Linked DNA regions of Solanum lycopersicum. Each later gene encodes a partner of the first gene's protein in a complex. Links are inferred from orthologs where the notes say so. Each region holds a gene or a part of one and is shown on either strand. Other genes may lie near its edges. The genes, in order: 50S ribosomal protein L6, chloroplastic; large ribosomal subunit protein uL15c; large ribosomal subunit protein bL28c; large ribosomal subunit protein uL1c; 50S ribosomal protein L27; large ribosomal subunit protein bL21c; large ribosomal subunit protein bL9c.

Region 1 (4,013 bases):
TGTGAGTATGTCTCAAAAGGAAGTTTCCCTTGTTTTTATCTGATTAGTTATGATCTTCCCTAAGTTAAAGTAGTCGTTAACTAGCCGTTGGAGAGTATAAGGAGTTTTAATATGAAAGAACCAATTGAAGTGCGTGTCTAAACTCAAAAACATAGATTTTTTAATTATTTCTACTTTCTCTTCCTTCTTTTAAAGTTGGGGTTTTCCTCTTCAAATCTGTTGTTTACATTGAAAACTTTAACCGTATCCATTTTTTTCCATTTTCCCCTTGACCAAAGTGTAGTATATGCACTTGTGGCTTTTGAGACTTGCAAATGGCTTATTAGCATCCAGATATTATAGATCTTTCTCACCACCCCCTAATTGTGATACCTTTTAGCCTAGAAACACTACGACTAGCACTGATATATGTCCTTTGCTAGAAGTCCTAGCTGTTCTTACGTCTATATTCCCTCTTCTGCCTAATTTATCACTTCTCATGACCTTAGAATCATTAATTCTGTCATGGAACTAAGGATCTGCTACATTTGAACTTTGTTGCCAGTCAATCTTCTCATAGTGAGAAAGATCATTTCTTTAACATGTCAAGACTGAGAACTATGTACTGCTTTTATGTTGCTCGGACAAAAGATCGTTTCTTTAACATGTCAAGACTGAGAACTATGTACTGCTTTTATGTTGCTCGGACTCTTCAAAATGCTGCCGAGTGCAGGTCAGACCCTCCAAAAGTAGTGAACTTTTGAGGATCCAACACAAATGCAATAACATTTTTGGTGATTCCCGAGCAACATACTTCTTTTGCTACTTACAGTGACTAATGTCCACGTTTTCTTCCATATTTTCGAGTCCCCTCATAGCAAAAGAAGCATTCGATTATATCAATTTATTAGGTAACCATTGGCAAGAGGCTACAGCAAGTAATATATATCAATAGTTAAGATCAAATAAGTAAAGTTTAGAACCACAAAGAGGTTCACTATTTTTGAAACTTAGAAGTACTAAAAAGAACAGAAAACTTCAAGGTGGTAAGAAATGACTGCCCTTCTTTACCTTATTAAGAGGAAAAAATTATCCTTTCCTCTTCATTAACAACTAGGATAAAATCAATTAGGACTAGGACTGGGAAACATCTCAATTTGGTTATAAAATATGATATCATATAATTGGAGAAGATCAATTAGACCCTTTAAATCTTAAATTTTATGTCAGAAGAACTAAGTCATCACTAGTCCACATCAAAACCAGTCGTGAATTTCAAAGTAATTACTCCAGTAAGTAGATTATAGCTTCTTGATCATACGTAGTAGTAATAGGTAAATTATAACTTAGAATGTTTACCATATCTAAGAATAAAACCGAGAAAAGAAGTCGAGAAAACAGCACAATTAAACTGCAGACTACCTGAATAAACCATGCATCTGATTAGCGCGTCTTGTCTCCATGGCTTTTCTGACCCTTAGAATACCTCCATCTTCCTTCTCAAGCTTTACTTCTCGTGGATAAGTTATGGCCATCTCCCCCAGAGGTCCCTTAACTTTCAAATCTTGGCCTTCCATTGTGAGTGTCACATTTGAAGGTACTGATATTGGTTGCTTCCCGATTCTTGATTCTTTACATTCGACCGTCTTACTCACAAAACCAACACGGCGAACAGCAACACTCGATACATGAAACCCATTCAAACTCCCAACAAAAGGAGACCGCAAAGTGCTGACATGAAATAAAACAAGAATAACAGATATGTTTTACAAGAAAGCCAACACCAATAACAGCCACACTCAAGATATGAATCCCATTCAAACCTCTCAACAAATGGAGACCTTAAATAGATAAAACAAGATCAAAGTTTTTATTTTTACAAGAAAACATGCTAAGCCCCGACACCCTCTATACTGGCTAAAGCTTTATTCTTCAAATAAGGATACCCCAGAATCTGAAAGACACAAAATTGCATAAATTTGACACAAACTGACCAATAAACTACAAATGTGCAAAATACCCAATTTCAACAATTCAAGAATCAAAATGAAAAAGTAAAACTCAACAAGCTAAATGCACCTAATATGTATAGAAACAGTGAGTGAGAAGGGTAGCAGAATAATTAAGTTCTTACCCAGAACACACAAAAGCTACAAACTTTATTGTATAATAAGGAAACCCACAAGCTCAAAGACACAAAATTGCATAATTGAGCAAGAAACTATAAATGCACAATACCAATTTCAACAATTCAAGAATCAACATGAAAGTGTAAAAATCAACAAGCTATATGCACCTAATATGTGAAGGGGAGCAGAACAATTAAGTTCCTTACCCTCAATACACAAAAGCTACAAACTTTATTGTATAATGAGGAGACCCCAGAAGCTAAAAGACACAAAATTGCATAAATTGAGCAAGAAATTACAAATGCACAATACCCAATTTCAACAATTTAAGAATCAACATGAAAGTGTAAAAATCAACAAGCTAAATGCACCCAGTATGAAAAAGGGAGCAGAACAATTAAGTTCCTTACCCACAACACACAAAAGCTATAATTTTTATCGTATAATAAGGAAACCCCAGAAGCTAAAAAGACACAAAATTGCATAAAATTGACAATGAAACAACAAATGTGCAAATACCCAATTTCATTAATTCTAGAATCGACATGAAAATGTAAAAAGCAACAAGCTTCATAGTGTTAACAACAGATTCAAGAAGCTAAATTTACCTGGCATGTAAAGAAGCTGTGAGTGAAGAGCTACTCATTTTTGAATTTTGCCTGCAAGCTACAAGACTGAGTCTCTTAAGAGCTGAACTATCTTGTATAGTGGATAGAGCCCTTTTTGCCTTGCACATTAAAGAGTATTGACAATTTCACCCCTTATCCTATTTCAACTAAATAACAATTTCCCCCTCTATGTTACAAAGTTTCTCTTTTGCCCCCTCTTGATATCGGTAAATTCTTTGATACACATATGATTCGAGTTAAAGTTACTGAATCTAAATGAAGTCATAAGATGTATGTTAGATCGGGATGTAGATTTTTATCTATTTCGTATTACGTAAATTAATCATAGAGTCTCAAAATAAGAGTCAAATTAGTATTCGTGTTCACAAGAAAAGAATATCATATATTTATATAAAAGAGAATCTCTGCCCGCCTACATGGCAGCACCACAAGAAAGAATTGCCTTTTAAATTTAATTATTTCCAAAATTAGCCTTCATCTTGCTTGAAAACATGTGACTTTTATGAAAATTACAGTTGCGACTTTAACGAAGAATTGCGAATTTTATTAAAACAGTTGTAACTTTTTAGAAAAATTGTGACTTTAATGAAAAGTTGTGACTTTTATCAAAAGTTTTGATTTTAATGAAGAGTTGTTACTTTTATCAAAAGTGTGACTTTTATGAAAAGTTGCAACTTTAATGAAAAGTGGTGACCTTTCCGAAGGGTTGCAACTATTTCAAATAGTTGTAACCTTTCCGATAAGGCACAATAAGAATTTGTTCACGCTAACCTTTATTGTCTATAAATACAAAAATTTCCTCTCATTTTAAAACAACAAAAATTCTGATACTCTTCTACATCCGTAAAATTAAATATTTTTGTACTTTGCTCATTTTGAGTGACTTATTAACACCCCCATTATTTTATCAATAAGTTGGTGAATAGAATCATTTCATCCTGAGAGGATGTAGTTCTTTAAAACCTCTTATATTGGAGGGGAATAGATTTTTTAATGGGACATTGTGCATTCAATTGACTCGATTTTTTCCTTTATATTTAATGGTATTTATACATATCCTGGTATGTTTTTTTACGCTCATTAATTTATACTCATGTTATTAATTGTTGTTTTTGAGTACATATTTTAAACATTATTTTTATGTTTATGTTAACTTATTTTCTCCGGTTATATTGAACATATACACATATTGTATGTATATTTATTATCAAAAAAAATTATTGTATTTAGTTCCGAAAATTCATATTTTGATATTCTATATTAAATTTTAGAAGTA
Region 2 (3,961 bases), on another chromosome or scaffold:
GTGGTAAACATGTAGTAGATAATTGCTTTTGACAGATTAGCCTGACTTGAGGGAAATCCTTAACTAAATCAACAAAACACATAATGAAACAAATTAAAAGACGAGATTGGAGGTTTTACAAAGAGCACTATCAATTACTTCAGTTATTAAGTTAGAATAGCCTAAAATAGTCAAAGTTATAAAAATTAGACATGGCAAGGCCTAATCAGTATGAAAGGCCTAAGAAAAGTAAGAACTTATTTTTTGACACACAACTCTAGGTGTGAGTATCAAGGTTCAGCATTATATAATGCGAATGGATACAAGTTACGCCAAAAATAAAGGACAGTTATGAATCATCTTAGTAATACCAACAACTTGACATTGAAGAAAATACTTAATCAAACGCCATGCATAAGGGAAAGTGAAGACTACTCAAGAGCCACACTGAGACTAGAGAGTCAAGGCACTGACATTCTCTTCAAATCAAAGGAAGAATAGCCCTTTGACTCGAGGGCCTTTTTACCTCCTTAGTATGAACTTTCCAAATCCTCCTCCTTTTAAAATAAGTTTCCTGCTAGGGGAAGGTTAGGAAAGGACAGATTTTATATCCGCTGATTCGGTTTATGATGGCATAAGGAGCATTTGTTCGAGTGAGAGCTCCTAGAATGTTCATTTTGCAGTAAGAAACTTCTTGACAGACGTTACACCTGGTTGGATGCTTGAGCACATTTCTCTCATATCGATCAAGGCTTTCCTTTTAGTTTAAATAAGGGGGTAACAGTCTTCGGATTATAGAGGAAGATAAAAATGTTGAGGATTTCAGAATATTGCAAATAAGAAAATAAGAATTTCAAGATATTTGCCTTGATGTCATATAACTATGCATAGCTTTATTTCTTAGTGCAATATATTGATCATTTGTAATAAATTTCTTTAGATTAATCATCAGTACAGTTTGAGTATGCATACACATATGTCCACCAGATGCAGATAAGACTTTTTATCATCCTATGAAAATCTGCCTCTGCAATGACACAACCAAAAGAAAAACAAACATGCTTGTAAACAAAGATACACACAGTGCACCCAAGTGAGTGGCGTAGTTGTTAATGGAGTTGGTTGAGAACCATAATGTCTCCTGTTCAATATTCATTTATCCAAGCCTTTCTGGATAGAGTTATCCGCTCAGCAGCGCATTTACTATTTGGAGATGGATGACACCAGGCAGGGCAGAAAAAAGAGTTTGTATTCCATTAGTTGAGGAATGAAGTAGCAAAGGAATATCCAACACAAGTGTTGGCAGGAAGAAGCAGGTACCCGTGGAATTAAGTACATGACAGTGTTATCAAATCAAAAAAACTCTGAGGACCATTGGGACTAAGCATAAAACGTGAATAAAGCATGATCTTTAATATAAAAAGGAGCAAAGGGAGAAATACAAATACATATGTTTGTTTAGTCTAAGAATAATAATTGTAAGCATGAATGACAAATATATGAACAAAGAAATTATTTTTTTTACTATTAAGTGAAATATCAATTGTTTAGTGTTGCCTAAAGAGACTCAAAAGAATGCCTAAGAAACTTGATGACGACCCTGAAGAGCACATTAAGCAAGACAAAGCGCTCAACACATTTTGAACCTCGCTTATGCACAGCTTTGACAACACTACTGCATGCAAGGTGCCCCGAACACAAATATAAAAAAGAACACATAGTCAAGTTAAAGCTATAAATTTTATAACACTTATCCATAGACTTTTAAATGGTAAACTATAACACTGCAGATGGACACAGAAACAAACAACAAAACAAGGAAAAACAAAATCCAACTCAAACTAAGGGGTCATTTGGTACTAGGGATGAGATAGACAAAGTTATCCCATTGATTAGTATATCCCGAGGAATTAGTTATCCCGCCATATATATATGAGATAACTTATCCTATCATTATCTTATAAAAATGACAAGATAGATATTCAGGGACTAACTAATACCCCTAACCAAAGGCAATCCAACATTTTATCCCGAGATTATTATCTCTTATCCCTTGTACCAAACGACCCCTGTGATAATATAATTATGTTGAAGCAATGTTAACAAATTACCTCCAGCAATTCCTCTCAACTTAGGAAGTCTCCTATAGAGAGGCATTTGACCCCCTTCAAACCCCTTTCTAACTCCAGGTCCAGACCTTGATTTTTGACCTCTCATACCAAAACCACAACTACCCCCTTGTCCAGCTGAATGCCCTCTACCTTTCCTCTTCCTATTCTTGGTAGCCCCAGGTTGAGGACCCAAGTTATTAAGCCGAAAACGAACACTCCCAGTTGCAGAATCAGCACCAAAACTTGCAGTTTGGTTGAAAACAACAAATGGGGTTCTTGTTATTGACTTAGATTTCAAATTGCAGACCTTTATTAAAGGCAAAAGCTTCGAACTTGACTTCAAATTACTTACATTACCCTGAAAAAAATTGATGGGGATAAATGAGAATTGTATAATTTTGACAGAAATTGAAAAATTAAAGAGGAGAAATTGTACCTTGAATGATGAAGAAAACTGGGTAATGATTGAATTTGTTCTTGTAGGTGATGCAGAGGAGATGGAGAGTAGAGACGCCATTGTTGATAAGGGAGAACTCAGGATTGTGTTCACTGTCCAAGCAAAAAGTGTTTTGACAAATTTTAACGGATAGGGGTGGTTATTTCAGGGACTTTCTTTTCTACTTTTTAAATTAGTTTACGAGTCTATTATCAGGTGTTCGATATTTAATTCGATATGTGTGTATTACACTTCATTTTGAGGATCGTGGTCTTTTTTGCTTCCAACATGATGTTTGATATTAGTAATAGGCTTAAATAAAATTTGAATTCACACACGACTGGGCACATTTTTAGAGGGGACTTTCCTAACTGATTTTTTTCATTTATGGGATTGAATTTGAAACATATGATTAAGAAAGAGAGATCTAAACGCTCGCTACAAGTCATATTAATTACTAACATGTTTGATTACTTAGTCATTGATAAATTCTATACGAGGGTTATTAGTAATTCGTCAACTTCTTTTTTAGATAGTAATCTTTCTTTTCTTCCTCTTTCGTCATGCTATACTCCGATGAGGATTACTCTTATAATGTTCTGCTTAAGAAAATTTAAAAGAATCTCCTTAATCCTGTCTTACTCCGCCCAAATTTCTGTATACATTCATTAATCAGCAAATTATAAAAATGACTACATTTATAGGATTTATCAAAGTTCAATAGCTACAAGTATGTTATTTATAAAAAATGAATACAATTTATATCTTTTTCTAGCTGTATTAATTCTTTAAATATTATTATTTTTCTATTTATACAGTAATACAAGTTTAATTACAACAAACTAAATAAGGAAAATGTATTAATTGTGTACAGTTAGTATATGAATACTTTGAATTCAAATTAGTATCTATATTTATAAAACGTAAAGTGTATATATATATATATATATATATATATATATATATATATATCAATGATACAAGTTTTTGTAAGAATTTAATGTATCAATATATATATCAAACAAGTTAAAGTATGACAATTAGCATATGAACACGGCTATTTGAAAAATGAATACATTATTGTTGTTCAAAAAATGAATGCAATATAGTATACATATGAATACATTGTGTTACTAAATCAAAGATGGATAAATTGGACAACGTAGAAACAAAAAAATAGAAAATAATAGAATGTGTCGGTATCAAAGTATATAAGAATTCGCCTGTATAAAAAATTGATAAATAACAATTGCCAATCTCTTTTTGGTAAGTGATCCTGTAATACATGAAGCTTGGTGTTAACTTAGGTATTTATAAAAATATAGTATTAATGTATCCAATTGTACTTGTATTGCCTAATCAATCTTGTAAATTGGATAAATTACTTATGTATCCAGATATATTTGTATTTGTAAATCACCATTTTCAACGAGTG
Region 3 (4,170 bases), on another chromosome or scaffold:
ATACTCTACCTGAAAAAACAGAATGTATTCTCTTAATATTCTATACGCTACTTATCATAAAGAGGCGCCAAGATATTCGAGCACAACCGACAAAAATGCAGGAAAGCAGGGGGGGAAAGGAAAGATCATGATGATGTAAGGCAAAGGATGCTTCACTGGGAATATTTGATTACTCTTGTCCCTAATTTGTTTTATTTTACCTATTAGCTCAAAGGCTTTAAGTAGTTTTGGACTAAAAAAACAAAGGAATTCAGGATGCAGTTTGACAAATGCAGCAACTTAGAAAGGGAGTCAAAGCAAGCAAGAGTGTCAGTGATATAGTGCTCCTAATGACTCTCATAATGTGCTTTCTGATTAGTAAACTAAAGCTTCATCAGTGATCTAAAAGCCAAATACTCTGCCATTACTGGATTTCACAAAAGGTAAGTCAACCCTTTACAATTTGTTGTCATACAATGAGAACGAATTAAACCAAGCTGTTATCATCATATTCAAAATATAATGTACACCAGAGGGGCGAACACACCGAAGATTCAAGTTCTGTAGATTTTTCCTTCCAAATCTGCAGCTAACACACTCTCTCAGCCTCTCATTATTGGTTTCGTCTTCTTTTTAACTAGTTTGGTCACTTGTAATAAGGACACAGGTGGGTAAATAAATATTAAAAAATGCAGAAGGTGAATTTGAGAGGTAAATGGATTTACATATTCTTGATAGCGAGAAATCTACTTTCATAAGCTTTGAATCTCATAAAGCTTTTATTTCACTATTAGGCTGCAAGTTTCATGGAGAGAAGAATAGGCAGATGGAAATCCTGCTCATTATCAAGAGAGGTGAAAGCAAGAAAATGAAGCTCCCTTTAGGCTGCAGTCAGTTTTTAATGAGACCTAAAAGGCCTCGACAAGAATTATAATATCTTCTCATGCATATAGTATTTCTTTTGCAGCTTTGTCTATGAATTGCAGCAAAGGAATGCAAACTTTGTTAACCAAAAAACTGTTGATACCATCTATATAAGAAATTTATCATGAAATAATTTATAATTCTTCACTTGGACAATCTGTTATGCCTTAAATATCGGCAATCCTTAAGTCAGAGAACAAAGAGCCAAGGAGGAAAAATTAGGGATCATTCAGTATATGAAGACAACTATGGACAAACTTCCAAACTATATACCGTATTTTATTGATCTTGTTGTTATTAATGCAGTTAACGCGGCAGCTCCCTTTAATCAATATGCTGTAGTCCATCAAGCTCTTCCCAGTTTGTTAATTTTGCACATGGTGAGGTTGTCCTATCCCTATTTCTTGCGACTGTAGACAGACTTTTAAACCCCTGGAATGATGACACCCCTTTAATCTCTCCTCTTGAAGTTATATAAGAAGTTGTTTAGATAGTAAACTATAATATGGTTTTTAATCATTGATTATCATATGTAACTTAATAATATGTGATTAATGTCAAGTGCTCAGCTTACCATACCACAGATTTCAAGAAAACAATATATTTAGTTTGCAAATTGCAACTGAATCAAACTTTTTCCAACTTTGGCTATGTCTTCAGATCCTCCACATTGTAAGGGATAATTTTCATCCCATATCAGCAATACTAACTTTCACTTGGTACTAAACAATCTAACGTAATGTGCTATCAACACAAAGCACATATCTGAATTCTAGACACCCGACTACTAAATGGGGTCTCAGGTATGGAATGAGCAATTATCTGAGTAACACTCATGATGATTTCGGTCCTGTGACCCTTTGAGTACGGCCACTCCACACACACACAAATAAAAAGGCTACCTGCACCAAAATGATGATTCATCGTATTAACATTTGAAAGTTATCATCTTTCCTTTTTCCCCATCAATGTTCAAGAAGAACTTACTATCCCTACTTCATGGGTAGAGGGACCGAAGGTGTATACCATACAGTATCCCTTTGCATGTGATCCAATTAATTGAAATTCAGAAAGCTGAAATGTCACCTCTACCATCAATAGGTCTACAAAGTTAATATTTCCGCCCCTCGAACTCGTAACCTTCAGGTCAGCAAAGGAGCAACCTTGCAATTGCACCAAGACTCTTTTTTTATTTTAAATAATGGTAATGTCGGGGTCAGTTTGCACATACTTCAACAACCATTACCCTAAGTAACAAGTACTTAACTAAACTTCAAATTATCAGATACAATTTCCTTTTGACAATTGTGGTGTATGGCCAGTATGCGCACACCTCGACTAATTCTAAGGTTACCTACTGCCTCCCCACAAGCACAATTTCTTACACACAATTCACAATATTGTTAAAACCCAACAATTCACTGAAACAAACAAAACAACAAACAGTTCATGTGCATATTACTAGACCAAAAAAGAAACAACCCCAACAACTAAAAACACAGAGAACACAACAAAAGGGTAGAGAAATTACGAGCAACAGGTTGAAGGGCTGTCTTGAAAGGAACAGAAAGTGAAGCAGGAGAGCTCAAATGGGTGCTTGAAATCTTGATGCCACTCAATTGAGAAGTCACAAAACTCAACTCTGAGCTGAATTTCACCTTGGGTAAAGCCCTTTTGGTCACTGCAAATGTCCTGTAACCACCCACTACTGGTCCTCTGAGGCTTATACCCGCTGTGATTGTCGCCATTTTTGCAACCAATTCCTCAAAGCAAGAATCTTTTTTGTCTCAAGAATGTTGCTTTTTTTTTTGAAGAAGGAAGTGAAGAGTGGATAACGAAATGGATGTGGGTAATGATTTTATTTGTTGGCCTTCATATTTTTTTTTATTGTTATTATATATTTAACTTATTTTTTCCTTTAGTCTAATAATATCAAACGATTTAAATAAAAGAATAAATAAATAACAAAATCTAACTTATTTGGAAGTAATATGTTATCATAGTTATGCTTTAATTTTATTTGCATTACTTGTGTTATCTTAGTTTATGCTTTAATCTTATTTCCATTACTTACTCACGTGGAAGTCTAATATCACAAACCAAACAAAGAGAGTATTAAGCCTATACCAAAATCAAATCATTATTAAGCCTATACCAAAATCAAATCATTATAATATTAAGCGTTTTCTCCCTCTTCAGGTTCCACTTATGATAAACCAAACAAATAGACCAAAATCAAATCATTATAATATTGAACGTCTCTACTATCTTCAAATCAATCACACTATGTTATGAATGTCCTTATCTCTCTAACCAAACAACCCCTAAAATCTGTTATCCCATCAACTGTCCAACTGAGTCAGTGACCAACATCATTTAGAACTACAAGCACAAGACATTAAGGCAAAATAATAAGAAGGTAAATAAAAGATTTCAAGAAGCCATAAGATTGTGCTCCTGTATATTGTAAGTAGTAGGTAAACTGTTGCAACTTAAAAACAAAGTTCATAATTTTTAGATGACATAATACAATGGCTCATTCCTTCATCCCATTCTACATCTGGGAGAAAACATGTATTCCGCTTCAAATCGGGTACGACTCTCGCACTAACAAAAGGGTTAACACCAAGGCATCTCAATAATGGTAAAAATTGCAAACAAACATTCAGTTAAGCATTGTGAAATCCTATGTTAACGTCGTTCAAGTTTGGGGAGATCTGCATAAGGTTTTGAATGGGCCAAAAGAAATTAGTTTTGTTTAGCAAACTTTGTCTGATAGAGATCAAGGGGAACATACTCCACAGTCACTATTCGGTCGTCAAACAGTCGTCCATGTAGACAATGAGCAGCCGTGCATGCAGCTTCTGCTCTTCTAAACTCCACAAGTACACAGCCCGGATCAAACACTTCAGTAATAGGGATTTCTTCCTTTTTCTCAAGTTCCTCTGGAGCATCCAACTCTTCTTTCGATGAGAATTCTGGTTCAGAAGGTCTATCGTCTACATTTCCATTGTCTTCCTCTGACTTAATTGCTTCCTTAACTGGTGAGTCATTGTTTATCTCAAGATGCTCCAGTGGACTGGGATTAGCATTTTCATCTTTCCTTTCTGAAACCATACCAGTACGGGTAACCTCGAGATTTTCTTGGAAGATTGTCTCTTGAGCAGAGACACTACTGTCATCTGGTAGAGGGTCAGAGCTGTCGTCTTTTATTAGCTCCTCAGAAGGTCTATCATCCGAATGACTGCCACCAGCCAAAGCATCGTC
Region 4 (3,951 bases), on another chromosome or scaffold:
GGGAGAATGTATCATATAGTACAATAATTTAACTTATTATATATACTTGAATACATAAAACTATTAAGTTTGTTTGTGTGTCTTTACAAATCAACACATTAGAGTGATGAAATTCAGTTTAAACTGAAATTTCAGTAGAGAAAACTTCTATGAATACTCAAATAACGTGTGTTGTTTAATATGTATTAACAAATCCTTATAACAATAACTTTGCAGAAACATATACAACAAAGTATAAAACAAACACACTAGGATATGTAATATAATGAAAGAGAAAATAAAAAAATTGAGTCCATGAAATGCACAATGTACCCTTAAGAAAATTATTCTCCTCTACCACCCGAGGTTTAAAATACTAAATCCTCACGATAGAACGTTTAGCAGTGTGTTTATACAAAAATAATATTTAATTATGCAGAAGAAAGACGTTCAAAATCTTTGTTGTTTTAAAACAAAATGAAATCTCTCTATTCATAGAAAACAAAGGATAGTGTGAACAAAATATTTATAGAACGTTTAGCAGTGTGTTTATACAAAAATAATATTTAATTATGCAGAAGAAAGACGTTCAAAATCTTTGTTGTTTTAAAACAAAATGAAATCTCTCTATTCATAGAAAACAAAGGATAGTGTGAACAAAATATTTATTGTGCCAAATGGGAAATAACACAACTCTTTGAAAAAGTTACAATTCTTTTGAAAGAGCACAACCTTTCATAAAAGTTGTAACTTTTTGTAAAAATCACAGCTCTTCTTCATATAAGTCATTTAAATGAAAATTCTTACTTGTGATGACGCTACCTAGGTTGACATATGATTCTCTTATATATATATATATATATATATATATACATACTTAATCATTATTAAGTAATAAATATAATTGCTTTAATTATTAACTTTTAAGATTAATCATATATAAAAACATGCTATCGTATATGTTTTCAATGAAACATCCGATAAAATTGAAACAATTTTTTTTTTTTTCAGACTCTCCCAAGGAAACTTGCATCAATAAAGGGAGGGGTTATATGTTTAAAAATCAAAAGCTAGTAGGTAAAATCATATATTCTGTAACTTCTGTGGGTCAAAATGATAAATCTAATAACATACTTTTGATATACACTCTCTTATCTCGTTATCAACATACGCCAAATGGATAGGCATTATATATGATTTTGTTTATTCACCACAACAATCCCTTCGGTCTCATTCAACAATGGCTTCCACAGCAACGCCTTCTACTCTCACTCTTTCCTCTATTTTCTCACAAGAACTCAACCCCAATTCCCTAATTTTCAAATCAAAGCCTCTTCTTTTCACATCCCACAAATCTTTTTCTCTGCACCCATTAAGCCTCCAGTACAAAGAAAGGAAGAATGGACCTCTTGTTGTTGCTGCTATGGCAGCTGAAGCTGAGGTTGAAGACGCCGTGGAACAGGAAGGTGAAGAAGGGGCTGTTGCTGTTTTAATTCCTCCGTCTAAGCCTAAGAAAGGCAAGGCTGCATTGCCCTTGAAGAGGGATAGAGTATGTTGAAGAACCCATCTTTTTATTGTTGATTTGGTGGATTTTTAGATATGAAAGATGGGTTTTTTTTCGTTGTGTGATATGTGGGGTTTGCTTAATTTTTGTGTTTTGAGATGATATTAGAATGGAAATAGATTTCTTGCCCCTAAAGTGGATATAGCATGTGGAAAATCTCCAAATTTTTTTGGGTTAATTTATGGATGTTAGATGAAAGATGAGTTTTTGCTGGTTTTGTATGATAGGTTGAAACAACTATGCCTTTTTTTTTTCTTGAGCTACGGGAAACAACCTCTTTACTTCTCTCTACCCTGGCCAGAGCCCACTTTGAAGGACTACACTGTGTATGTTGGTGTTGTTGATGATGATTCTTGTGGCGATATTACCATGGACATAAGTCATAACTTTTTTGCCCCTAAAGAGGATATTTATGTTGAAACTCTTCATTTCTAATTAATTTTGTGAATGTCAGATGAAAAATGGGTCTTTGTTTGTTTGTATGATATGTGGCTTTTGCTTAAGTTCTGTTTCATTGATCTTTGTGGTGAGATTACTATCAATATGACCTGTTTTGGAATTTCTTGGTTCATTTTTTATGGGTGAACTTGTCTGAATTTGTTTGGTCGTGTAAAATTTGGTCTGTACTGATTTACCTACCAAAGGTCTGTTTTGTGTGATGATGAGATAATTCAGTAGTTCATTATGATAGTAGGTGATTTCTAACAGCTCTAAGTCTTTTTGGACTGAGTGGGAAGTAGCAGGTCGTTGGTGGATTAATCCTGTTGCATGAGCTTTCTGGGACACCATCCTTATTAACAAATTTATAATTATACCGGGAATTATGAAATGGAATTTAATATTACGTTAATTACAATTTCTAAGCAATGGAAATGAAATTATATTAAGCTAAGATTGTATCTGTATTGTGGTTGGCGAGTCACGTCAAAATTACCTAGTCTCACATTGTGTCATTTCAAAGGAAGCTAGTTTGTATATGCTTGCAGTTATTGGCAAGTTATGAAGCAAGTATTTACATAGCCTGTACTTTCCTGTTTGTATTGGGGGGAACAAGCTTTTTTTTTCCCTGTTTAATGTAGACTACCTTCCTCCTGCCCGAACATGTGAGGATTCAGAATCTTAAGTTACTTGGTGTAATACTAATAAAATGTGGAGTCCTTTTAAAAGTGGAATCACGGTGGCAAAGATCAATCAGGAATGGTGAACAATCAATTTTAATGCAGCAAAGTTAGACCTTGTGTAGTGGGATTGAATTAGATCATTCGAACTCTCTCATGTGATCCTTGTCCTCATAATAAGACATCTGAGGAAATATGCTGTCCGGAGATTAAACATTTCACATAATTCTGCATGTGGTTGTTCCTTTCACCAGAAAAGGATGTCACTGTACAGGTGCATAATTTTGCACTTTGGAGATGCTAGTTGTGGAAGATCATCTCTATTGATTTTCAAACTGCGTTTCTGATATGCTTTTCCTGTTGCTGATACATCAAGCATCAAACTTCTCTGTTTCTTTCTCTATCTCATTTACCCGTTGCTCCATCAATTTTCTCATAAATTGGTTACTTCTTTTTCCATAATAATTAGACGCGGTCTAAGAGGTTCTTGGAGATTCAGAAGTTAAGAGAAATCAAGAAAGAGTATGACTTGAAAACGGCTATAGAACTCCTCAAGCAAACAGCTAGCTTAAAGTTTGTCGAAACCGCTGAAGCTCATTTCCGGCTCAATATTGACCCAAAATACAACGATCAGCAGCTTAGGGCAACTGTAAGTTTTCAAATATTTCATTAATCATCATTACATACTTCAAAGTCTATATCGAGTGTTTACTGGTATATTAATATCTTGAATTGTGGTGACTTATCTATTTCAGGTTAACTTGCCCAAGGGAACAGGTCAAACTGTTAAAGTGGCTGTCCTTACCCAAGGTACTCCTTAAAAATATTTTGTGTGAATCGATCGTGATTGTATGCCAAATAATCAAGGGAAGTAGATTCCTTGATAATTGGTCTGTTAAGGTCGTTATCGAACTCCTTTCATTGCTTCTAGAAAATAGTCATTTTTATTTTGTATTGATAAATTAAAATGTCATTTAACATAAGTGTAGATGTGATACAAGTAACTGGGCGTAATAATGTGGAAATGGTCTGCAAACTAGAATATCATATATGGTTGTCATCCCAAATCAGCCTTGGTTAATTAGATTGTCTAGTGAACTTGCAGCTTTCACCCTACTTTTTTTAACGCACCCCAAAGAAAAAGGAGTAACTTTCAGAATTGTTTTTTTTTTCTTAAAAAAAAAGATCAGACATATGAATCTTCCTTTTTAGTGTGATTGTTAGTCTAGTTTTTGTAACCCTAGATTGAATGCAATATGCTAGGATCTTTTTTATATTTGGGATGTGGTC
Region 5 (4,166 bases), on another chromosome or scaffold:
ATCTTCTGAATCATACATTTCATTCTGTACTCATACAAACTGTGACAAAGACTCATGCTTTCAGTAACACAATTTACAAACAAAAAAAGACAACAATGGCAGAAACACAGTTTAGAAAATGTGCCTGCAAATGTGTTCCCAAGTAGCTACTAGCAATAACCAAAACGACAACAGAATGTTTGAAAAATCGAAAGACCATTATCAGCAAGTGGTGATGGGATTATCTTCAGAGGATTCAGCAGCAGAAGCAACTATCAACTGAGGCTCAGGGATGACACCTTCTCTTCGTGCCTTTCTACGTTCACGTTGTAATCTGAAGGACTCTCTCTTTCGGTTTCTATAGCTGTTGGGGTTTTCAGGTTGCACCTCGCGTGGATAAACACTTATCTGCACAGTCAGTATACGTTAATAACACTCGTGTACCACATATCTACAAGCAGTAAGCTAAAGAACTCAACCTTTTTCCTGTCAGGTCCAAACTTTTCAAATTTGACTAGTCCATCAATCAAAGAAAATATTGTGTGATCTTTGCCAAGTCCAACATTCTTTCCTGGGTGGAACTGGAAATATCACCACGAGAACGATTAGGGAACAGAATATATGGCAATGCTAAACGGAGAATGCAACTTTTGAACTACTCTTAGAGCAAACAAACAGACGATAACAGGATCATATCAGAGCCGAAAAAAAGTAAAACTAATACCAACCTCTGGCATAAACCCTTTTACTATCTAACTGATAGAAGACGACATCTACTCATAGCATCATACTGTCAGAAACTGACACTTTCGGCAAAGAAAAAAAACTCAAGTCGGATTATAACAAATGTGCATTTCTTAAAGAGAACTTCCAACTATGTCTTCACGACACGAGCTCAAAACCTTAAACCTTATAGCAATCTGTTACTTCAAATGACAAGATATGTATCCCTCTAGTACCTTGTTTTGTACTCAATCTAACGCCCTCTAGACAATCCACATATTTCTAACAAATAATATACAAACCAAACGAAGAAAGCCAGACGAATGGAGCAGAGTTATTGACAAGATGCCAGGACCTAGTATGTTTGTGAGGTATTGAGCAAAAAAACTGGAATTACACTCTACTTGGGTGGGTTCATCCGAATTCATTTCAAGCACTATTAATTAATCAAAAGAACTATCAGAACTTCCACAGCAAATACGAGTTTTAGGCAAAAATAAAAAAGAGAGAGGAGATCCAGAAGAAGTAAAATTGAAACCTTTGTACCGCGCTGGCGAACGATTATAGAACCGGGCTTGGCGACTTGGTCACCATAAATCTTGACACCAAGCCTCTGTCCAGGAGAATCTCGACCATTCTTAGTGCTACCAGCTCCTTTCTTGTGTGCAGACTCAATTGTCAATGGAGATTTCAACGGGAAGGAAACGGAGAACTTAGGGGCAATGGGAAGAGAAACCCCAAGGAGAGAATTGGAAGATAAGGAGAGTCCTTTGAATGAGGAAACAAGACTCAAACTCACTGCCATTTATACGCTGCAAAGAAAACAAAGAAATTCAGTAGCCTCTCGTGGTACTTACTATCAGAGATGAGAGGCCTAAAGGAAAGGAAGTGATATTTAACAATGGGAAAAATATGAGCATAGAACTACTAAGAGGACAAAACTATTACCATAACAACTACCAAGGATCTTAATCGCCAATCTAAAATTTCCCCGGATCATCGCGAACACAAATTGGAGAAATATATTTTTGATAGTAAGTCTACAGAAGGTTTGACTCTGACTTTAACACTGCTCGGTATGACTAAAACAGTAGAAGAGTGATAAAAATGGTCCTAAACATATTTCCTAAGAAAAAAAGTTTTCCATCAAAAGGGGGAAATAACTACTCTCACTTATGAGATAAGTCATTTCCTTTTACTACGATTTCAGCTCTTTCTCCTTATCGCTCGCTCCAACCACTGTTTAGATAATATTGTCATTTCTTAATACTCAGCTTTATCAAAATATAAAACCAATTTGCTGAGCTTATTATCAATCTTCAAAAAAAATACAAAACACACACTCCTAACAATAGAAGTACCTTAAGTCCTCATTACAACTATCTTTACTCCATTATATATCTCTTGCATTTCAATACACATTACTTCCACTCATTGTTTTTCTTTTCAAAATTACACCAAACATCAACCCCCCTCCACCACAAACGCATTTCGCAAACTCTACACCACAAAATATTCCGCAAATAAGTCCTTACGCAAGCAATTGGTCATAAAAGAACCATATTTAATCATAAAGGACAAGTCTTTAAACCACAAAACAAAGAGGAATCAAAGGAAACCAGTATCAACAACAAAATAAACACTAGTATGTTCATCAAGATTGCAGTCCACCTAAAATATTAGTAGCGGTCAATAAAGTAGATTGATAACCATAACGTCTCAAGTTCAAATCCTAGTGAAGCATAAATACTAACCCCCTCCATTTCAATTTCCAATAGCAACTCTTCAATTCTAACTTTTCACATTAAACAACATTTTGATACATTCGACATAACATTAGTTTTACTTCAACCCCACTTGATTAAAAAAAAATCTTTACTTTCTTATATTATTTGCCAAAGTCGAACCACACAAACAAATTGAAATGGAGAGAATAGTAAACCAAGATTTGCGAGTCAGCTAAAATTAAATACATTTTCGAACACCCAATTAAACATAGTACAAGAAAAAAACATTGAATTTACAGAAGAGGGGAAAAGAGATGAACTCACCGAGGGGATTATGGAGCCACAATGGCAAAATCTTCGAGATAAAAAGATAAGAGAAATGTCAGCCATCCTTTTTATAATATACTTGACCCGTTTTGAATTGGGCTTTTTTTAGCTTGTTTTCGGGTTAAGTTTAATGGTTTCGTTTATCGAACATAAGTTATGGACATAAATTAATTTTGCTTATAAATATTGAAGTTGTAAATATTTTTATCGAACTTGTAAAGGGGAATAATATGATTTTAATTAGTAAAATAAAATGTTTTTTCAGATATCTTTTCTTCGAAACTAAAATCCAAGTGATTGTTTTTATATTTTTGAAAACGTTTTTTAATCTCAAATTGATATTCTGCGAAAAGTATTTTCAAAAAATGAAATCATATTTAAAAATTTTTAATTTAATTTTTATCGAGAAAATTTCATACTCCTACTTACGGGCATATATAATATGATTTTTCGATAAAAAGTATAAGAATAATTTTTTTTTGCATACCTCCATACAAGTACGGTTAAGAATGTCAAAATGAGCCTAAATATATATAACTCGTCTAACTCATTTAAAATTTTATAGGCGGGAGCTCTAGATATTTTGAATTGGATCAATCTCAACTTATTTACGTTTTAGCCCATTTTAAAATAATTTTTAATTGTGTCCAATGTAATCTCTAATTTCAACATGTTTTAAGAGTATTTTTTGTATTGGTGTAATTTATGTTCTCATATTGAATGCATAAATTAGAATCTATTTTATATTTTTTATGATTTATATATCAATTTTATAACTGTTTTTATTGAATTAAAATTCAAATAATAGTTATTAAAGGAAAATAACAATATGTTTAAATTATTGAGATTAAACATGTCAAATCGCACAGGTCATGATCCAATCCAATGTTTATCCTATTTGAGCCTAACATAATTTGAAGAGGTTATGATTCGACTTAAATTTTATTTGAACTCATTTTAATATTTTAAATTTTAATTCAACCCGATTATTTAACACGCCGACCTACAATAATGCCACATTATTCTTGAAAATTGCTCATATTATGCTTCTTGAACTAGTTAGTGGAATTGATTGCTCGAGTCAAAAGTTGTGTTGGTAAATTAAAGGATTTAAAAGAAGAATATTTAAAGTAAAATAGATTGTTTAATTTATTTACTTTTATAGGACAAGAACAAGTGGAGAATATAAATGCCATGAACCTAATTCTTTCAAAGAATAAATATATTTATTGGTTAAAAAATAATATTAGGTGAACATTTTAAATATATCTAAATTTCAATATATAAAATTAATACAATAAAATAATTAAATCCAACATCATGCTATATAATCTATATGTGCAAATACATCAATGGTTTTAACATGTAATAGTAAAATACCGATAAAGATTGTGATGGAAAATTAAAATA
Region 6 (4,257 bases), on another chromosome or scaffold:
ATGTCTCATACATGGCTGTAAGCTCACTGATTTAGACAGTTTTCATGTTTGCATGGTAATTATTTGCAGACATAGTTAAAACTATGATAGACTACGGTGCGCCTTGCTTTAAGGGCAAACAGATAGGTTAAAAAAGTTCAAACTACTTTATAGTTATTCAGATATCACTAAAAACAGTTCTTTGATACCTGTCTGTGACCAATATTCCTTCTGTAGTTCTTTTTCTTCTTATACTTGAAGACGATAACCTTCTTATCTTTCAACTGCATGGAAATGTAATAATGAGCCAACAGATATGTCAAGTAAACAAGATATACTCAGTGGAAACTACAGCAGAGGAAGAATGATGTCTGACCTGCTCTTCAACAACAGCGTGGACTGTTGCATTTGGCACCACTGGTTTTCCAACCCAAGTACTTGTTTTTGTTCCCACAAGTAACACCTTGTTTAGGATAATCTGCAGAAGCAACAAGTATAGATGCTTCAACAATGATCCTCATTGTGGAAATTTTGAAATAAGAGTATTGCCAATATGGCAAGAAAACCTTGACATACACATATAACCCTTATATCAAGTGTTAGCTTCCGTGGAAAATAACTGGTGAAGACAATGTATTAAAGATAATAGAAATAGGACAAGCAAATGTCACTATTGGTTGAAATTGATGCCTTTTGACATAATTGAGAAATTGCTGCAAGCAAGTTCTTTTTGATTGGACACCACAATGTTGATATGAGATAGCGAGACAAGGAAAAAGAAAAACAACTCACGTAACTAAAGCCAAAGCCACAGAGAGGTAACCAGATTTTGGGAAATCAATTGTAAATTAAGACCAAAAATGCTCACTTTGTCATTGACATTTGCACCTTTAAGCCTCTGGGTGTAGATATACCGCCCAGGAAAAACAATATATTGCCGAGATCCAACCTATGAAAGCGAAAGAGCAAAAATGAACAAACAGCTTAACGTATTAAAGACAAGCCCCATAGAGTTATATTAGGGTAGTGTCACATTCATCTGAAAAAAAGAAAAAAGAACAAAATAAAGCACAAAATTTGACACCTAGAGGACTTGAAAATTGTTAGCAGCAGGAATAATGATCAGATTGAAATAGCAGCTATAATCTCCTCGCAAGAGTGAGTATTTTCCACATGGAAAAGAAAAAATATTCATCAAATAAGTAGTAAACATGAATGTTTTCTCCGGTTAAATACAATAGTTCACAATTCACATTAAATAAAAGATGAAAGTGTAGAATATGGCAACCTCAAAATCAAATTTCAACAATTACTAGACTTTTGCTTAAATGTTTGCATGGACTTGTAGATATGTATTCCCTCTGACAACTGTATAACACCTAAAGTTAGAACTAAATGATAGTTATCAGTTATTTATTAGTTATATTACTTCTAATCTGCCATATGAACCCCTTTGCAACTTAACTAGAGGAAACGCCTACCGAAAATAGATGGCCCACTTGTAAAACGAAATTAAACTAAAACCAAAGAGAACATAGACTGAGATTTTTGAAATTGGATGGTGTCCAGAACACAGGTAAGGATATACCAAGTACTAAATCTTCGTCATGTCTTCATAATAATTATAGTTTTCTGTTAACATCAGCCAACTCTACTGGAGAATACTAAGCATATAAAAAGTTCAGTTCAGCTTATTTAGCACGGACTATTTTAACATTTCCAATAGCCACCACCACTGCCAAGTCAATATGACACAAACATATAGACATGTGTATTGTTCCTTTAAGACACCCTAAAACAGAATGCTAAACCTAAGCATCACAGAATGGCATTGACGTATAAATAACAGAACGAAAGAATTTCATTGTAACACTCCCTATTTTCACCACATACACCATAGGAAGCAGTAATGTATCAACAGTACTAGCAAACACGAAATATGAACTAAGTGAGTGAGGTGTGGTGGAACATTCTTCATGAAAACAAATTTTTGGAACTTCTAATCCGTTTGACATAAAGGAAGTTTTCGTTCTAGTGGCAAAGGTTAATTCGAGAAATTGCTTCAATAATAGGTCTGAGTAATTTTGAATTCCCCTTATTAAAATTCCGACTGCTTTTGTGATATCAAAGGTTGAGCACATGACAATCTTGAACCAAAGTTGTGATCTCTATACAACAAAGTAACATTCCCTTAGAGGGAATAGATCAATTTCCTATTTCCTTCGAGAAAAAAATTCAAGGTAACAGACAACTGAAACATTTTCCGCTGAATTTTCAAATTTTCATTTGGGACCTCATAATTTTTTCAATAAAAATCTAAATTGTACCCTCACATTGATTTCGAAATTGAAAACAAACAGATATGTCTACACAAATTTAAACATGAATGGAAGTGAGTCGTCACCATAACAACAGCAAAGATTTCTTCCCGTTTTGGTTCCAAGCTAGTGGCTTCCACAACAGGCTCTTCTTGGTCAGCTTCAACTTCAGCTACTGGAGCTTCAGATTCTGAGTATTTGGGTACAAAAGAGGATAAAGAATTGGGCTTGGAGAAACGGAGATTGAGAGAGGAAAATGAGTGAGATAGAAAAGTAACATTGGAATTTGCTTTGGGAACAGAAAGGGTGTTAAGAAAAGTTTGGTTCTTGGAAAGTGCTGTTGAGGGGGAAGATGTAGAACACAGGGAAAGGGTTGCCATTGTTAGAGAGTGAGAGGTTTTTTTTGGGTATTCTCTGTCTCTCTCTCAATTTTATCTGTTGAAGCCTATCCTATCTGCAGTGGTAGCCAAATGACTATTTTACCCCGAAATCCTTTATTTATTTTTTTAAAAATAATTGTATTAGAAATAGTATAAATTTACATATTCTCGTAACATAATACTCCCTTCGTTTCAAAAAGAACGTCTCTATTTCCTTTTTTAGTCTGTTTCAAAACAAAAAACTCATTTCCTTTTTTCATAATATTTTAACTTGAACTTTCCACGTGACATGTTTAAGACCACAAGATTAAAGGATATTTTGGTACATTTGACATAACTTTAATTTAGAATCACAAGATTAAAAAATTTTTTTTTCTTCTTAAATTCTGTTTCAAGGCAAGCTAGACCATCCTTTTTGAAATGGAGAGATTAACAAATATTCTAAATTATATAATAGGTCATTTACTCTTGAAGCCATCATTGTTTAATTTTGACTCGAGGTTAGTTATGTAAAGCCTCCCATCTACTTTTTGCAATTACATATACATTATATTTAATTTTCATAGTGCTAGTACTATTTTTGATATGTTTTATTTAATTTGAGGCTCTTAAAAAATAATTATTCTATCTTTAAAACGTAGAAGTAAGATTACAAATACGTGGTAAGAAGAGTAAAATAAGAACAAAAGTAATGCCATTTGTTATGTTAAAAATCAAGCCCGCAAAATTGGAAGGAAAAAAAAATAAATCAAAAAAATTACACAAATAAAAGAAGACTGAAATTTATTTTAGTGTTTAATATATGACAAAATGATCTTAAAAGGTACTCAATTTCCAGTAACATCAAATTAATATAGACATAAAGAAGGTTTTTACAACACTTCTCAGGTACAAACAACTGTAATATTTTAGAATTTATGAACTAGAGGAAAAACCCTCAAATTATATAAGATAAAGTAGCAAAAGTAGGAGTAACGTTTGTTTACATCCCACCCTCTCCAGATCTCGCTCGTGGAAAGATACTGGGCATGCTGTTGCTGAGAGTAGCAACAACTGAAATTTTGCTACTATAGCACTAAATCTATCTACCATCACAAAATAATAGAGCACCAATATATGCTGGTAATAGCCCAACATTGTCTTGGCAAACACAGCTCTACTTGACCCCTCTCGTCCGGTTGAAAGCCTCCTTGAACTCCTCTGGTTATTGGTTGGTCCAACGTATTCTATCAGCTTGGTCTGGTAAACAATCATGCTAGAATTAGAGAGTTAGATACCAAACAATCTAAATATAATGTTGGTATAATACATTTCCTAATAATATGCATTTTTTGATATATTATAGAAGTAGAAACCTTCTATTCTTTTTTCTCACTGTCACTTGCTCCAAGTGCATCAGCCAAGTTAAAATTCAAATTGCCTCTCATTGTTCTAGCAGCAAATCCTGTATTTCCCTTCTTCATCATTGTTGCAAATTCGCCGTAATCTATACGTCCATCCTGCCAAACAGAAGAATATATTAGCTTGACTTAACTCAGAAATGTGATGCCCATGCGGAGGGCTGGTTGATGAGGTCAGGT
Region 7 (4,084 bases), on another chromosome or scaffold:
ATTGCTTCAAAAAAACAGTTTTTGCTCTAGCAATAGACGGAAAATGGAATCAGTATACTCCACTGTTCTCGATGACTGATGTTAACGAGTAAGTAACATCGCACAGAAGGAATCACACAAGAAAATAAGCACTGCATGAAAAATATTTGAATTACTTAATAAACCAGATGAATCAGAGAACATCAGTTTTCAAGTTCATGCAAATTCATATTACAGGATCAACCTTATGAAGGACAATATACTTTAACAGTCTTCAATGAACATATAGTAGTAATTAGTTCGCATACTACTATTTACATGCTATGGCAGAAAGATTGGAAAATGGTACCTCTGTATCTGTGCTTTTATAATATCAACGAGATCCTGAGCAGTGACACTGCAAGAGAGATGACGTCAAAAGGTAGATCAAATATTCACCAAGTTGCTCATCACAATTTAGTATTTCACTGACCTTCCAAATATTTGCTTTCCTTTCCCACCCTTACGCTTCACCTTGAAGGCTCCAATAGTTTCAAAAATTCGAGCAAGCTGTTGTGCCTCATCTTTCACCTGAAATCAAAAACGTTTAACTAAAACCACATTCATTATGAAACTCTTTTAGACTTTTAGTGACTTGAAAATAAAAAAAAAATGTATATATTTTTCAACTTTCAATAGATTAGATTAATCAGAATAATCTAATTACCCGTTGTTTTTCAGCCTCAATTTTCTCGTCTTCCATCTTCATTTCCCTGAGTAAAAAGTACATAATGTTATAAAATAAAAATGCATCCATGAAGTTAGTTAATTCTCACTGATGGCGAAGCACGCTAATAGCTATCAAAAATATCAAACCAAAATTGCTTCTAACAACCATCTCTAACGAAGCCTTCACCTATTTGTTTTGTTCTTTAGTATGAAATAGCAAATCCCTTATATATAAGACTTTTACAGGACTATCACACCATTAATGTTAACAGCTGGTTAGGCCTATTGCTCACCCAAAAGCTAAAGACAAAGTCACTAAGTAGTAGGAAATCTAAAGTTTTATATCCAACCATTATCCATCTTATGCATTGTGGGACATTGTATTGAAGACGAATCCGTTATCAATAAATTATATTTGGTTAAAAGAAGCGAATTTACTTAAACCTATAATCATTAATCATACGAAGCACTATTTCAGGGAACAAAAGCCATACAGAGTTTGTGTACTGACCAAGAGTTATAACACCAAAGCCATACAGAGTTTCTGCTCAAGGAGTATCGAAAATGATTATTCTGGTACGACCTTTGCACGAAGATATGTATAATCCATGGGTCCGTCCACTTTTCAGCTAGTTACAATTAGTTTAAAGGATCCCATAGACTAAGTATACCTATTTTATCTCCATTCGACATAGGTCCATTGGTTTAGATAAAAGATAAAACAAAACAAGCAATAGTAATAACATACTTCCACTCATCAACAGCCAAGCAAAGTATTGTGTGTGGCATTTTAAATAGTTGAACCAAAGAATCCTGACATTAATTATGAGGCATGAAAATAAGATAACGAACAGAAGAACCAAAGTCTTGAGTTCAATAATAAGGTTAAGTCGATAATTTAACTAGTCATAATGCAGAAACAGACACTTGAACTCGGCATCAACTAGCAAGAAAACACTCAAACTCGGCATCAACTAGCAAGAAAACACTCCAACTTTGAGTATGCACATCTACACCTCAACTCATCTCCACTGTGTCAGTTGAACACTCCAACTTACAAAATGATCATCTAGGCACCAACCAAATATATTTGCCACATCAACATCAGGTGTCCATGACACACTGTGGATTATGCCGTTAAACTATACAGGGTGATTGGAAATGTGAATATTCAACACTTAAAATCAACTAACAGTCTCCAAAAGGAATACTTAAAAATCCATCCAACACAAGCAGAACCAATTTTAACAAACATTAAGGGGGTGTTTTGTAGCTAGTAAAAAAGCAACTTACTCATATATTAACTTAATGTATAAGTAATACAATGTTTGGCAGTTAGTTAGAGAATAAGTTATTCATGTATAAAATCAACACAAAGTTTAATTTGTAATTCAAAAACCTACCTAACTAATATATAATGTATTATCTTATGCAGGTTACAAGACGAAATAACTGATACCTGCGTAACTCTACCAAGCTACCAAACAACCGCGAACTCCACAAAAGTACAGCTAATGAAAGAAGAACCTAAAAGGCAATGAAATCAAATGGCAAAAATCTAGTTCAAAGTAGAGTTAAACGAGTTACTTGATAAGTGCAGCTGTCACAATTTGAGCTTTGCCCAATGGTAGCAAATAATTCCTAAAGAATCCAGCTTTAACATCCAAAAGGTCTCCCTTTTTACCCAACTGTGAAATATCCTCTTTCAGTATTATCTGTTCCATCAAAACAAAAAATACCCAATTCAGCTATTAACCATAAATGGACAAAAAATGAGATTTTGACAATTATAAATCCAACCCATTATCACATTTTCAAGAATTAGCTCACCTTTCGAACTTTCTTGGCTTTTTTCTGAGCAACAATTGTTAAAATTGAAGTTCTTTCTGAAAATTTCACTGTTTCGGAAAATGGGTTTTTGGTTAAGCTGTAATTTTGGAGACAAGAAGATGAACCCCATGACGCCATAGCTAAGTCTTCCTTCTTCTTTTCTTCACTTTTTGCTCCGTTTTTCTGTATTTTTTACAGTTTATAGCGTTATCTTATCTGTAATGGCGAACTGAAGAAGATAATGGATGTCTTAATGGGCCAACAAAACTTATTGGGACAATTCATGTAAAGCCCATTTCTTAGTCCAATTATAATATTTTAGGCTATTTGGGCGAAGGACAGAAATCACATACTTTTAAGGCAAAATTACCATTTGTTTTTTACAAGTATATAATTACAAAAATTTCTCAAATGATACAATAATATATTATTGTATCATTTGATACATTAATCTGATGTGTGAGATACATTAATCATTAAGTACGATACATTACATTTATACATAATACACTAATCTGATGTACACTTTATACAAGATACATTAATCTGATGCGCGATATACATTAATCTGATGCGTGATATATATTAATTTGATGTGCGAGATACATTAATTTGATGTGCTGATACGTTAATTTGATGTGTGAAAATGAGGGATTTTGGAGATTTGTAAAACTAATAGGGGATAATAATAGTAAGAGAACTTAAAAGTGAGATTTCTATCATTTACCCTTACTGAAATACACGTCTTATATTTTCCTTATTTTCATATATCCCCTTTTATTTCTAAAGACCTCTAAAATCCATTATTTCTTTAATGTATCCGAGCTACATATTAATGTATCCGAGCTAGTATTTAATGTATCCGAGTTACATATTATGTATGCGATTTATTTTATAATGTACCCGATCTAGTTTTTAATGTATCTGAACTACATATTATGCATCCGATTTATGCTATAATGCATCTAAGATACTCTTTAATGTATTCGAGTTACATATAAATGTATCCGATTTGTGTTACTTTTTAAGGGATTAATGAAATTACAAACTAAAGAGGGATGAATTATAATTTCATATTAAAATTATGTGATTTCTAAAATTTATCCAAAAAAAACAGCCCAACATAATACTCCATCCGTCTCAATTCATGTGGTGTTGCTTGACTAAGTAGTGGACATTGGACACGAAGTTTAAAAAATATGAAAATACTTTGTATATCTCAAAACTATCCTTAGAAAGAACACAACTTTGTAGACGTTTTGTCGAATAAGTGGGATCCAGTCATCTACAAAATATTGACAGTGTCATTAACTATTTATCAAATAAAGAAATGTATCGTTCTTTTAGAATTGACTAAAAAAAAGTTTGTCATCTAAATCCGGAGGGAGAGTATTTTACATTCACTTAGCCATATTTTTTTCATCAAAGTCATACTTGTAAAAGCGTACTCTTTCTGTCTCTCATACATTATTGTTTTGTATTTACACATATAAATAAGGGCAACTTTCACATATGGCAAATAAAAAATTCATATTTATATGCTATAACAAATTTTGTATATTTGCTT

The links.
Region 2: 50S ribosomal protein L6, chloroplastic (region 1) and large ribosomal subunit protein uL15c share a complex: the UniProt entries of both Arabidopsis thaliana proteins name them as parts of the 50S ribosomal subunit. The link is inferred for Solanum lycopersicum from reciprocal best matches to the Arabidopsis thaliana genes emb2394 and RPL15.
Region 3: 50S ribosomal protein L6, chloroplastic (region 1) and large ribosomal subunit protein bL28c share a complex: the UniProt entries of both Arabidopsis thaliana proteins name them as parts of the 50S ribosomal subunit. The link is inferred for Solanum lycopersicum from reciprocal best matches to the Arabidopsis thaliana genes emb2394 and PRPL28.
Region 4: 50S ribosomal protein L6, chloroplastic (region 1) and large ribosomal subunit protein uL1c share a complex: the UniProt entries of both Arabidopsis thaliana proteins name them as parts of the 50S ribosomal subunit. The link is inferred for Solanum lycopersicum from reciprocal best matches to the Arabidopsis thaliana genes emb2394 and EMB3126.
Region 5: 50S ribosomal protein L6, chloroplastic (region 1) and 50S ribosomal protein L27 share a complex: the UniProt entries of both Arabidopsis thaliana proteins name them as parts of the 50S ribosomal subunit. The link is inferred for Solanum lycopersicum from reciprocal best matches to the Arabidopsis thaliana genes emb2394 and RPL27.
Region 6: 50S ribosomal protein L6, chloroplastic (region 1) and large ribosomal subunit protein bL21c share a complex: the UniProt entries of both Arabidopsis thaliana proteins name them as parts of the 50S ribosomal subunit. The link is inferred for Solanum lycopersicum from reciprocal best matches to the Arabidopsis thaliana genes emb2394 and RPL21C.
Region 7: 50S ribosomal protein L6, chloroplastic (region 1) and large ribosomal subunit protein bL9c share a complex: the UniProt entries of both Arabidopsis thaliana proteins name them as parts of the 50S ribosomal subunit. The link is inferred for Solanum lycopersicum from reciprocal best matches to the Arabidopsis thaliana genes emb2394 and RPL9.

Annotation. Positions count from the first base shown.
Region 1 is NC_090811.1:69,209,303-69,213,315, reverse strand, and holds the start of 50S ribosomal protein L6, chloroplastic, read right to left. Parts: upstream 2,801-4,013; 5' UTR 2,755-2,800; coding exon 2,717-2,754; intron 1,711-2,716; coding exon 1,402-1,710; intron 1-1,401. UniProt on the Arabidopsis thaliana protein: This protein binds directly to 23S ribosomal RNA and is located at the aminoacyl-tRNA binding site of the peptidyltransferase center.
Region 2 is NC_090804.1:3,795,317-3,799,277, forward strand, and holds the start of large ribosomal subunit protein uL15c, read right to left. Parts: upstream 2,801-3,961; 5' UTR 2,608-2,800; coding exon 2,527-2,607; intron 2,449-2,526; coding exon 2,091-2,448; intron 1-2,090.
Region 3 is NC_090808.1:67,409,465-67,413,634, forward strand, and holds the start of large ribosomal subunit protein bL28c, read right to left. Parts: upstream 2,801-4,170; 5' UTR 2,652-2,800; coding exon 2,435-2,651; intron 10-2,434; coding exon 1-9. Other genes in the region: uncharacterized protein, read right to left, coding at 3,652-4,170.
Region 4 is NC_090800.1:78,432,222-78,436,172, forward strand, and holds the start of large ribosomal subunit protein uL1c, read left to right. Parts: upstream 1-1,151; 5' UTR 1,152-1,219; coding exon 1,220-1,528; intron 1,529-3,130; coding exon 3,131-3,310; intron 3,311-3,416; coding exon 3,417-3,471; intron 3,472-3,951. UniProt on the Arabidopsis thaliana protein: This protein binds directly to 23S ribosomal RNA.
Region 5 is NC_090810.1:58,850,415-58,854,580, forward strand, and holds the start of 50S ribosomal protein L27, read right to left. Parts: upstream 2,801-4,166; 5' UTR 2,754-2,800; intron 1,515-2,753; 5' UTR 1,508-1,514; coding exon 1,241-1,507; intron 561-1,240; coding exon 459-560; intron 388-458; coding exon 202-387; 3' UTR 1-201.
Region 6 is NC_090805.1:43,261,434-43,265,690, reverse strand, and holds the start of large ribosomal subunit protein bL21c, read right to left. Parts: upstream 2,801-4,257; 5' UTR 2,678-2,800; coding exon 2,384-2,677; intron 929-2,383; coding exon 848-928; intron 458-847; coding exon 356-457; intron 264-355; coding exon 189-263; intron 1-188. Other genes in the region: calcium-dependent protein kinase 11, read right to left, coding at 4,036-4,176. UniProt on the Arabidopsis thaliana protein: This protein binds to 23S ribosomal RNA in the presence of protein L20.
Region 7 is NC_090810.1:57,591,530-57,595,613, forward strand, and holds the start of large ribosomal subunit protein bL9c, read right to left. Parts: upstream 2,801-4,084; 5' UTR 2,656-2,800; coding exon 2,518-2,655; intron 2,403-2,517; coding exon 2,275-2,402; intron 732-2,274; coding exon 686-731; intron 550-685; coding exon 452-549; intron 377-451; coding exon 329-376; intron 1-328. UniProt on the Arabidopsis thaliana protein: Binds to the 23S rRNA.